2 linked regions of the Saccharomyces cerevisiae S288C genome follow. Changing the gene in region 1 together with any one later gene gives a genetic interaction. Each region holds a gene or a part of one and is shown on either strand. Other genes may lie near its edges.

Region 1 (5,804 bases):
AATGGGCGCAGGCGGATCCGCTACACATGCATCTCCCTATGTCTTAGCCGCTTCTATTCACGGTGTGAAAATTGTTCCACATATTATCAACGCTGTTATTTTGATTTCTGTGGTTTCAGTGGCAAATTCCTCTTTGTATGCTGGTCCAAGACTGATTTGCTCTTTGGCCCAACAAGGCTACGCACCCAAGTTTTTAGATTACGTTGACAGAGAGGGCAGGCCCTTGAGAGCTCTTATTGTGTGTTGCGTTTTCGGCGTCATTGCTTTTGTTGCAGCTTCATCAAAGGAAGAGATCGTGTTTACATGGTTAGCAGCTATCGCAGGCTTGAGTGAATTATTCACATGGACTTCCATAATGTTGTCCCATCTGCGATTCAGACAAGCAATGAAAGTACAGGGAAGGTCTCTAGACGAGTTGGGATACAAGGCCACAACAGGGATTTGGGGTTCCATATACGGTGTCTTTTTTAATATTTTAGTCTTTGTTGCCCAATTTTGGGTAGCATTGGCCCCCTTAGGTAATGGGGGCAAATGCGATGCGGAATCCTTCTTTCAAAATTATTTAGCTTTTCCAATATGGTTGGCCTTTTACTTCGGATATATGGTTTACAACCGTGATTTTACGCTATTAAATCCCCTCGACAAGATTGACCTTGACTTCCACAGACGCATTTATGATCCAGAGCTAATGAGACAAGAGGACGAAGAAAATAAAGAAAAACTAAGGAATATGTCTTTGATGAGAAAAGCTTATCATTTCTGGTGTTAAACTTAACTACACCACTCAGGTCTGGACACTTCCCATTAGAGCCGGTTGATGATATCACGGCATGTCCTTAGCGCTGAGTAGGTATGACTTCACAAGCACATTTGCTTGTGCCCTCCCCTCCCTTAATGACCTTATTCGTTTCTGTAATTTTATATTTTTTTTACATACATTCATTAATCATCCGTAGCATACATACCCGCACAATGTCGTTATTGTTTCAAATTTTGCTTTATCCTCCCTTCAACAGAACGTGAAGGAGGAATTTCTATGGCTTTGGAAACCGTTCCTATTCTTGCCTATCCCTTCCAGCGCCTGTCAAACCCCGCCTAAACAGTACTACCTCTTTGGGTAATGGAAAGGATATTTCACCTTTGAATGGCCAGGTAGGGAAAAAAAGAAAAAAAAACCTTTCTTCTTCTTGGTATTTTGACTAGGAGGCCATCATGAAATAGTCACAGAAACAACAAATTTATTGTCTTGGCTTGCGATCCACATTGATAATTACTTTCTCGGCACTTGCGGCGCACACATGCAGCCGGACGGCAGCAAGATTTTCAAAACCCAAGCAACCGATACTCAACACAATGGAGCCCAACAAATTGGAGTAATGACCTTATTGGGTAATCAATATTCCCAAAAAGAGCATCAGACGATCTGGTTATGGTTTTTCTTGACTATAACCTTAATTATGAGACTAATGTCTTCGGGAGGTCCCTTTTCCGATTTTCCGACTCTTTTCCGTTGAAGAATGTACTTGTGGTTTTGAATCCTACGGCAGTTATTGCGGCGGTTTGGCCCTTTCTTTCAAAGATTGTGATGGAAATAATTGATTGTTCCGGGAAATGTGTCTTATTTTCTAAAAGCATCTTTTTTTCTCTCCAATTCTTCGAGCTATTTCCAGTAAAGGAAAAAAAAGGTTTGCTGTAAGGGTGAATATGTCTCCAACCTCTTTGAGGTACTGCGTTGCTTCATTCACCATTTAATATAAATAGTACATTGGCAGCCCTCTTTCAAACGTCAATTATTCTCGCTTGCCTAACTTTGTTCGGACCGAAATTATAAAGGCATTCAATCAGTAACAATAATTGCTATTGCATAACTATACCCTCTGCTAAATAAAATAAAATGTCCGTTTCCAAGATTGCTTTCGTTTTAAGTGCCATTGCCTCTTTGGCCGTCGCTGACACCAGCGCCGCCGAAACTGCTGAATTGCAAGCTATTATCGGTGACATCAACTCTCATCTTTCTGACTACTTGGGTCTAGAAACTGGCAACAGTGGATTCCAAATTCCATCTGATGTCTTGAGTGTGTATCAACAAGTCATGACTTACACCGATGACGCTTACACTACCTTGTTTAGTGAATTGGACTTTGATGCTATCACTAAGACAATTGTTAAATTGCCATGGTACACCACAAGATTGAGTTCTGAAATCGCTGCTGCTCTTGCCTCCGTTTCCCCAGCTTCTTCCGAGGCTGCATCTTCTTCCGAGGCTGCATCTTCTTCCAAGGCTGCATCTTCTTCCGAAGCTACATCCTCTGCCGCTCCATCCTCTTCTGCTGCCCCATCTTCTTCTGCTGCCCCATCATCATCTGCCGAATCATCTTCTAAGGCCGTTTCTTCTTCTGTCGCTCCAACTACCTCTTCTGTCAGCACTTCTACAGTCGAAACTGCTTCCAATGCCGGTCAAAGAGTCAATGCAGGCGCTGCCTCTTTCGGTGCTGTTGTTGCAGGTGCAGCTGCTTTATTGTTATAAAAGGGAACCTTTTACAACAAATATTTGAAAAATTACCTCCATTATTATACCTTCTCTTTATGTAATTGTTAGTTCGAAAATTTTTTCTTCATTAATATAATCAACTTCTAAAACTTTCTAAAAACGTTCTCTTTTTCGAGATTAGTGCTTCTTCCCAATCCGTAAGAAATGTTTCCTTTCTTGACAATTGGCACCAGCTGGCTACTCGTTGCTCGAAAACTACTCTCTTTTATTTTTAATTTACGAACGATTATCTTTCGAAGGAACGACCAAACGAGCTAAATATGGGCATCGCCAACGTTAAAAAAATGGACCCTACCGAAGACGTTATTATGCCAAGGCGCAGCGAAGAGTCTTTCTCCTTGAGAAAAAATATGCATGAAACAAAATAGACAGGACCAGACCCTCTTCGGGAAAAAAAGTCAAGATTTAACACGTGGCTACACCGGCTGGCTTACAACCAACCAACATAAGATCAAACAACCCTCAAGTTTAGAAAATGCCTTAATAGCAACCTCTAAAACCATAGACTTCTCCATTTTCACGTGCTAAAAAAGTTCGGGTATGATGTCATACAAATCCTTTCAACAAAAGATGCTTCAAGATCAATGGCACTCGAGATCATAAATCCCTGCAGAGCAGCGGCTCTGCATATAGAATAACAAACAAATCGTATTTTTCCCGAAGCCAAGAAAAAAAGGAGACTATAACCTTTCAAGCCAGACGGAAAACTATCTGCCCAAGGACAAACTGGCATGGGCTGCTTCAATGTTCGGCTACCTTTTTTCTCTTTTAACGGGGTTTGGTATTTTTTTTCTTTACTTCATAAACGAATGTTAAACGACTGTGAAAAAGCCATCCCTGGATTATGCGAGAGTACTCTCAGGGCACCCGTCCGTTTAAAGACCCCAGGCCAAAATAAAAATTTCTTGAAGGAAAAAAATACACAGGGCCTTGAACTGAATACAAAGCCATCTTTTTTCTCGTTTGTCAGCACGTCCCAGAAAAACGCGCAGCCGTAGCTCTTGATAAGTGGCTTCTGCGTTTTGCAACGCTTTTCTGATCTCATGTTTTCTTATGCTGCGGGACATCATTGTCGTTGAGAAAAGTTTCAATTTCAAACGAACTGCCTACCGTTGCATTCTCCTTGGAGAAGGGCCTGAGTTTAGGGGAATCACGTCTGGCTATTACATGCTACATCGTGCAGTAGCTCCTACATCGCTAACAGGCAAATCCTACACCCTCTTTAAATCGTTTATCTTTTATATATTATCTGGCCTAAATTTTTACATATAAATATTTATCATATTATGACAGCTCAAATGAATTTCCGGCACCAAGTCATATGAGCACTCGCTACTGTTCGAAGAACAAAAAATATAAAGCTTCTACAAAATTTCCAGATGTCCATAGGTTACAAAGACAACTTGATGTCAACTATTCTAGCTAAAGATAGGAAATGTGAATTTCCCATCAATTTCGAATGTTCGCCCTCCCAGATAACTCTTATGCCTGAAATGTTCTCTTTTAACAATGAAAGGAAATACCAAACCCTGATACCCTTGATGAAAACATCACATCTAATTGATGATGACTTGAAAGATAAATTGAATAAGTGCGCTTTCGATTTTTTCTCCGGAAAACAAGCGAACAGAACGAGTGACGGGACTATTTCAAGATTAACAGCAAGTGGAAAAACGTCACCGATACTGCCATTGCAAAATATTAATATTGTAAAAGCAGAGAATACCGGTAACGGTAAATCAGATCCATATAGCTCAATTAAAATAAGCAAACCGACAAAAACCGTGATAAAATTGAAATCTACGAAAACCAATACAGCAGGACAGAGGACTCGTCATTTCTGTAAGATCTGCTCTACTGGGTTCACCACTTCTGGTCATCTTTCAAGACATAACAGAATCCATACAGGTGAAAAAAATCATATCTGTCCGCATGAGGGCTGTGGACAGAGGTTTAGTAGACATGATAACTGTAATCAGCATTATCGAACTCATGCAAACAAGAAGAAAAGAAACTGGAAGAGGAGGGAGGCTAGCAGTTGATGTGAGTGAGCTCAGCCAAAAACATTTAAATATTCAAATAACGTACAAATAAAAGACTGATAAATAGTAATAAAACTAAGCGGGTTAGTAATACTCACCAAGAACAATAGCAGGAACGATAGTCGGTTCTCTTTCGTAATTTTTTTAAGTCACAACCCGGAGGGACGTGAAGTTTCAAACCTTATTCATTCCGGGATTACCCTCTCCTGTGATGACGTTTAGGCAATAAGGACTAAAAAAAAAAAAAAGAAATGCTATGGCAAATTTTATTGATAGAAGTGGTAATGATGATGGAAGGGCTTTTGAGCAGGTGAATAGAAGGTAGCTAACGGAAAAGAGTTATTGCACCCTTAATATAATGAATGATGAAATTAATGAGCCACCGCCCAATATATGTGAGCAGTGCTTAGGTGATGAGGCTAATATACGAATGACTAAAATTCCACAAGGCTCTGAATGTAAGATTTGTACCTTACCGTTCACCTTATACCATTTTAAGACGTCTAAACGAAGCAATAATATCATTAAAACATTAATATGTGTACGGTGCGCCACTCAGAGAAACATTTGTCAATGCTGTATGCTTGATTCAAGATGGCACATCCCTATACAACTGCGGGATCATTTAATATCCCTTGTGAACGAGGAAAACGTTATGACGGAGGAAGCAAAAAACGACATGATGAAAAGGTTTCTGTCACTAAAAAACGTGAAATTAGGAGGAGCTCAGATTACGAGTGATCCGTCAGAAGCAGATAATATCGTTGATAAATTGAAAAATATACTTCTGCGAGCAACATCAGATGGCCCAAGTACTCCGTTAATAAAAAACACAACTGCATTGTATAAAAATGAAAAAGGTGCAAATGAGGTCAAAAACTTGGAAAAGTACGCGTCCGTGGACATTTCTCATATTTTGAAGAAACTACCCTTGAATGAATCGTTTTTAAAAAACCCCTCCACCAAATCATTTTTTCTGTATAATATTGATGCCTCGATCCCTGAATGGAAAATAACTGATACAGTTTCGCAATTATTGGGTATAAAGAAATGGAAGGATGGAAATTCATTGTCATTAATAGTCAACCACAAGGCGAAGTGTGGTGGCCTAAGATTTCAATCTAGTGAATTGGGGGAGCGGTTTGTCAGTAAAATAAGTGAGACACTTGTCACACCAAAGGGCCTAAAGAGAGGAGTTTTACTTATTGACC
Region 2 (4,051 bases), on another chromosome or scaffold:
ATGCGCAGAATGTGGGAATGCCAATTATAGGGTGCCGAGGTGCCTTATAAAACCCTTTTCTGTGCCTGTGACATTTCCTTTTTCGGTCAAAAAGAATATCCGAATTTTAGATTTGGACCCTCGTACAGAAGCTTATTGTCTAAGCCCATATTCAGTCTGCTCTAAACGGCTTCCATGCAAGAAATATTTCTATCTCTTGAATTCGTACAACATTAAACGTGTGTTGGGAGTCGTATACTGTTAGGGTCTGCAAATATGTAAACTCTCGGCGAAGGCCTTGGTGCAATTACGTAATTGTAGCCGCTGAGAGGCGGATGGTATTGAGAGAAGTTGATATTCAAAGAATTGATTATGATAAAAAAAAAAAATTGTAACCAATCCGTAAATACTGAAACTCTTTGCAGTAAGAAATCTTTCATCCCCAGAGAGAACGCGGAAATATTCAGCCTAAGTCTCTCCAAATTGATTTCTTTCATTTTGGTAGCGAAAGACTTAGTATCAACCTCAAAAAGTTGAAATTTTTGTAGATATATGTGCGGATGACATGAAGTATCCAGCTCCTTTGTGAATATGGAAGCAAGTTTCTTTCAAATTATTATCGACTTTTCCTCTGCCCCTTTTACCTTATAACTTTAGGAAACACTACCCTATCCATACTCAACTAAAAAAGTAGTACGTTTTCTTCTTTGAGAGGTATGGTGCAAACCAGTGCAATCTGATTCCAGATTGCCCTCACGTGAGGCTTCAGTAAATCTCGATCCCTCTACATATTACATTATCTCCTACTTGGCAAAATAGATGTGGCTTTAGTTGATGAAAATTTACCACGTCAACTATTTATGTCCTTTCTACAATAAACCCCGACCTACTATCCTCTATGTTGTTTTTAACATACCATACGAGCGTCATATGTCTTTTGGTTCACTGGGGAAGACCATCACTGTTGAACGTTTGTTGAAAAGTTCGAGATGATGAAGATTGCATAACAAAATGTAAAGTTATTTTTAGAAACTATAACGGTTCAAGACATTCAACACTATAACATAGCTTGGCTGGCTTGAACATAAAGAGGAAGAAGCAAAAGCAAGAGTAAAAAGCTTCTCATTTATTTCTGGCATTGTTGATCACCCAGTGCAAGCCCAATTTCGCCTGTGCTTTTCTTAAATTGTTTCTGACAACACCGAGGTTTTCGCTGCAGAAAAGGAACATATGGTGGTAATTTGTATAAGGGGTTAAGGGTCCAAAAATTTGCTACCCTGTCGCTCACTACAGCAAAATATCTCGAGATATCCGAGGAGTTAAAACTGACTAGACCTGTTGCGTAAACCTCATGCAAGCAGTACTCTTCGAGGATTTAAGCTTTGGAACTGCTTTCAAAGTTGAGAGTATATAAGGTGTTATGATCTTGGAATAGGGTTTTTCATCGTTCTTCCTTGTTCTCTTTTTTCATTGGTTGATCAGTTGTTAAATTTTGTCTCTTTCGAAAATAAGGATATTTGAAGACAACGCAAAGCTATCAATATGCAATTGATTTCCATCCTCTCTTTGTTGTCATCATTGATGTGTTCATTGACCGTTTTAGGGTCTTCCGCAAGTTCCTATGTTAAGTTTCCTGTTCAAAAGTTGGCTGATATTATAAATATATGCACACAGGATGTTTCTACCGTCTTCAAAAGAAATGAGGTTCTTAACACCACAGTGATAAATGGAATAGGAGTGTATGTTGTCAAGATGGAAATCGGAACGCCTCCACAAACGTTGTACCTACAGTTAGATACTGGCTCTTCAGATATGATTGTGAATAATGCTGACATTGCCTATTGCAAATCGATGTCTGACGGATCTGACTACGCTTCAACTGATAATTACGAGCTCACAGCAACGTTCAATGGGCTTCCTTCGACTACCATCTCATCAGAAGCTTATAACACTCTCTGCTCTTATTGGGGTACATTCGATGCAAGCAACTCATCTACTTTTGAGAATAATGCGACGTTTTTCAATAACACATACGGAGATGGTACGTATTATGCAGGGACTTATGGTACGGATGTTGTCTCTTTCGAAAATATTACTCTAAATGATTTCACTTTTGGTGTATCAAATGATACAATAGGCAATCCAAGTGGCATTTTAGGCATATCGCTTCCCATTGCAGAATTTACAGATGGTATCGAATACGCATTGGCATTGAACAGAACACCTTTCATATATGATAACTTTCCAATGGAATTAAAAAATCAGGGAAAGATTAATAAAATAGCGTATTCTTTATTTTTGAATGGACCTGATGCACACTTCGGGAGCATCTTGTTTGGTGCAGTGGACAAAAGTAAGTACACAGGACAGCTTTACACCCTGCCTATGCTGCAGGCATTCAATACCCTTGGCTCAAATCCTGGGATGATTATTACTGCACAAAGTGTGGCAATTTTGGATAGTGAATCTGGCAATAAAACTGTTTCGGATATTCAATTTCCAGTGATGTTGGATTCTGGCACAACTTTCTCCTATTTACCCACCGAAATTGCAGAAGCAATCGGCAAAAGTTTTGACGGAGAGTACAGCTCTGACGACCAAGGCTACATCTTTGATTGTTCAAAAGTGAACGATACTTTACTGTCCGTCGACTTTGGAGGATTTAATATATCGGCAAACATATCCAATTTCGTAACATCAGCTAAGGATCGTTGCGTTTTAAATGTTAAGCAATCCGAGTCCACTTATATGCTGGGAGATGCTTTCCTTGTCGACGCATATGTAGTCTACGATTTAGAAAACTACGAAATTTCTATTGCTCAGGCTAGCTTTAATAATCAAGAAGAAGATATTGAGGTTATCTCCGATACTGTCCCAGGTGCCACCCCTGCTCCCGGATACTTTAGTACATGGGTATATAAGCCCGGTAGTCCCATCGGAACAGGAGATTTTATTAATGTCAGCTGGACCTCGTATTCGGAATTTTCACAGTACAAATCATTGCTTGCCACCGCAGCCCAAAGCGATGATGCTAGTTCTTTCTCAAGTAGTGGCGGCTCTAGCGAAAGCACCACTAAAAAACAAAATGCAGGTTACAAATACCGTTCTTCTTTCTCCTTTTCATTATTGTCCTTCATATCTTATTTTCTTTTATAAGTAGAGAAGAGATACATAGTTTCGCAGTGTGTTACTGTGTGGGACTGTATAGGTGAAGCCCTATATACTGTGTAAAAGGCGATGAAACTTTATTATGTTATATATCACTGCTTCATATAAAAATAAGAAACCTACAGCGTAATGATTATACATATGACGAAGACTGTTAACTGCAATAAAGATAGTAACGACCTTATAAGTGCACACTTTTTCCCCAGGGCCAACGCAATGGCGAATATTGTCAAATAAGCTAACAAGAAGAATAACACAGTGCTAAAAAGCAGTGAATGTTTCATCTTCTCCATCGCGGCTTCCTTATCTTACCATTTTTTCTTTACTTACCTTCCACTTTGCCGCCCAGCCCTGACTGTTTTTAAGTGCAGCTAAAAAAATCTATCTAATCACTCGCCACATATATCCTACATAATACGTCATACTCAATGCAAAGGTAGCTTGAGGTATTGTTCTATCAAGTCCACACTATGACGCAAAGAAACATCCGCATTTTCTAATTTAACGAAGTTAATTATATGTCTTTTTTTTTTAGATAACATCGGTTTGATTACCTGCCCCTACATCTTTTAGGTGAATCTTTTCTGCTAATAATCAATTATATGAACTATTAACATTCCTCTTGTTAAAACTACTTTTATAATAAAGTCTATGATTCATTATACTCAATTGAACTGTATAACGCTATAAATTGGTGTAAGAATCCAGGATTAGTGTTAGTAGTATGTAAGAGATACGCCACTCAAAATTTCTGGAAAATATATATATAATGGAAGTGCCCGCTATTTAGAGAGAAGCACAATTACTTTATCAATAGACGGTTAAAAAGAGGGCAACAATATATGTCTGTTTGAGAATATTGCATATCTCGCGAGCTGGACTGTGCTTTTTCCGCCAATATGTA

Evidence for each region.
Region 2: mutations in TIP1 (region 1) and YPS6 together harm fitness more than expected from each alone (negative genetic interaction), as found in Saccharomyces cerevisiae (one large-scale study listed by BioGRID).

What each region holds. Positions count from the first base shown.
Region 1 is NC_001134.8:368,826-374,629, reverse strand, and holds TIP1 (putative lipase), read left to right. Parts: upstream 1-1,894; coding exon 1,895-2,527; downstream 2,528-5,804. Other genes in the region: branched-chain amino acid permease BAP2, read left to right, coding at 1-769; NRG2 (Nrg2p), read left to right, coding at 3,931-4,593; Pre-mRNA-splicing factor ECM2, read left to right, coding at 4,952-5,804. UniProt on the Saccharomyces cerevisiae protein: Seems to have esterase activity. Prefers ester of fatty acids from 4 to 16 carbon atoms.
Region 2 is NC_001141.2:429,582-433,632, reverse strand, and holds YPS6 (aspartyl protease), read left to right. Parts: upstream 1-1,521; coding exon 1,522-3,135; downstream 3,136-4,051.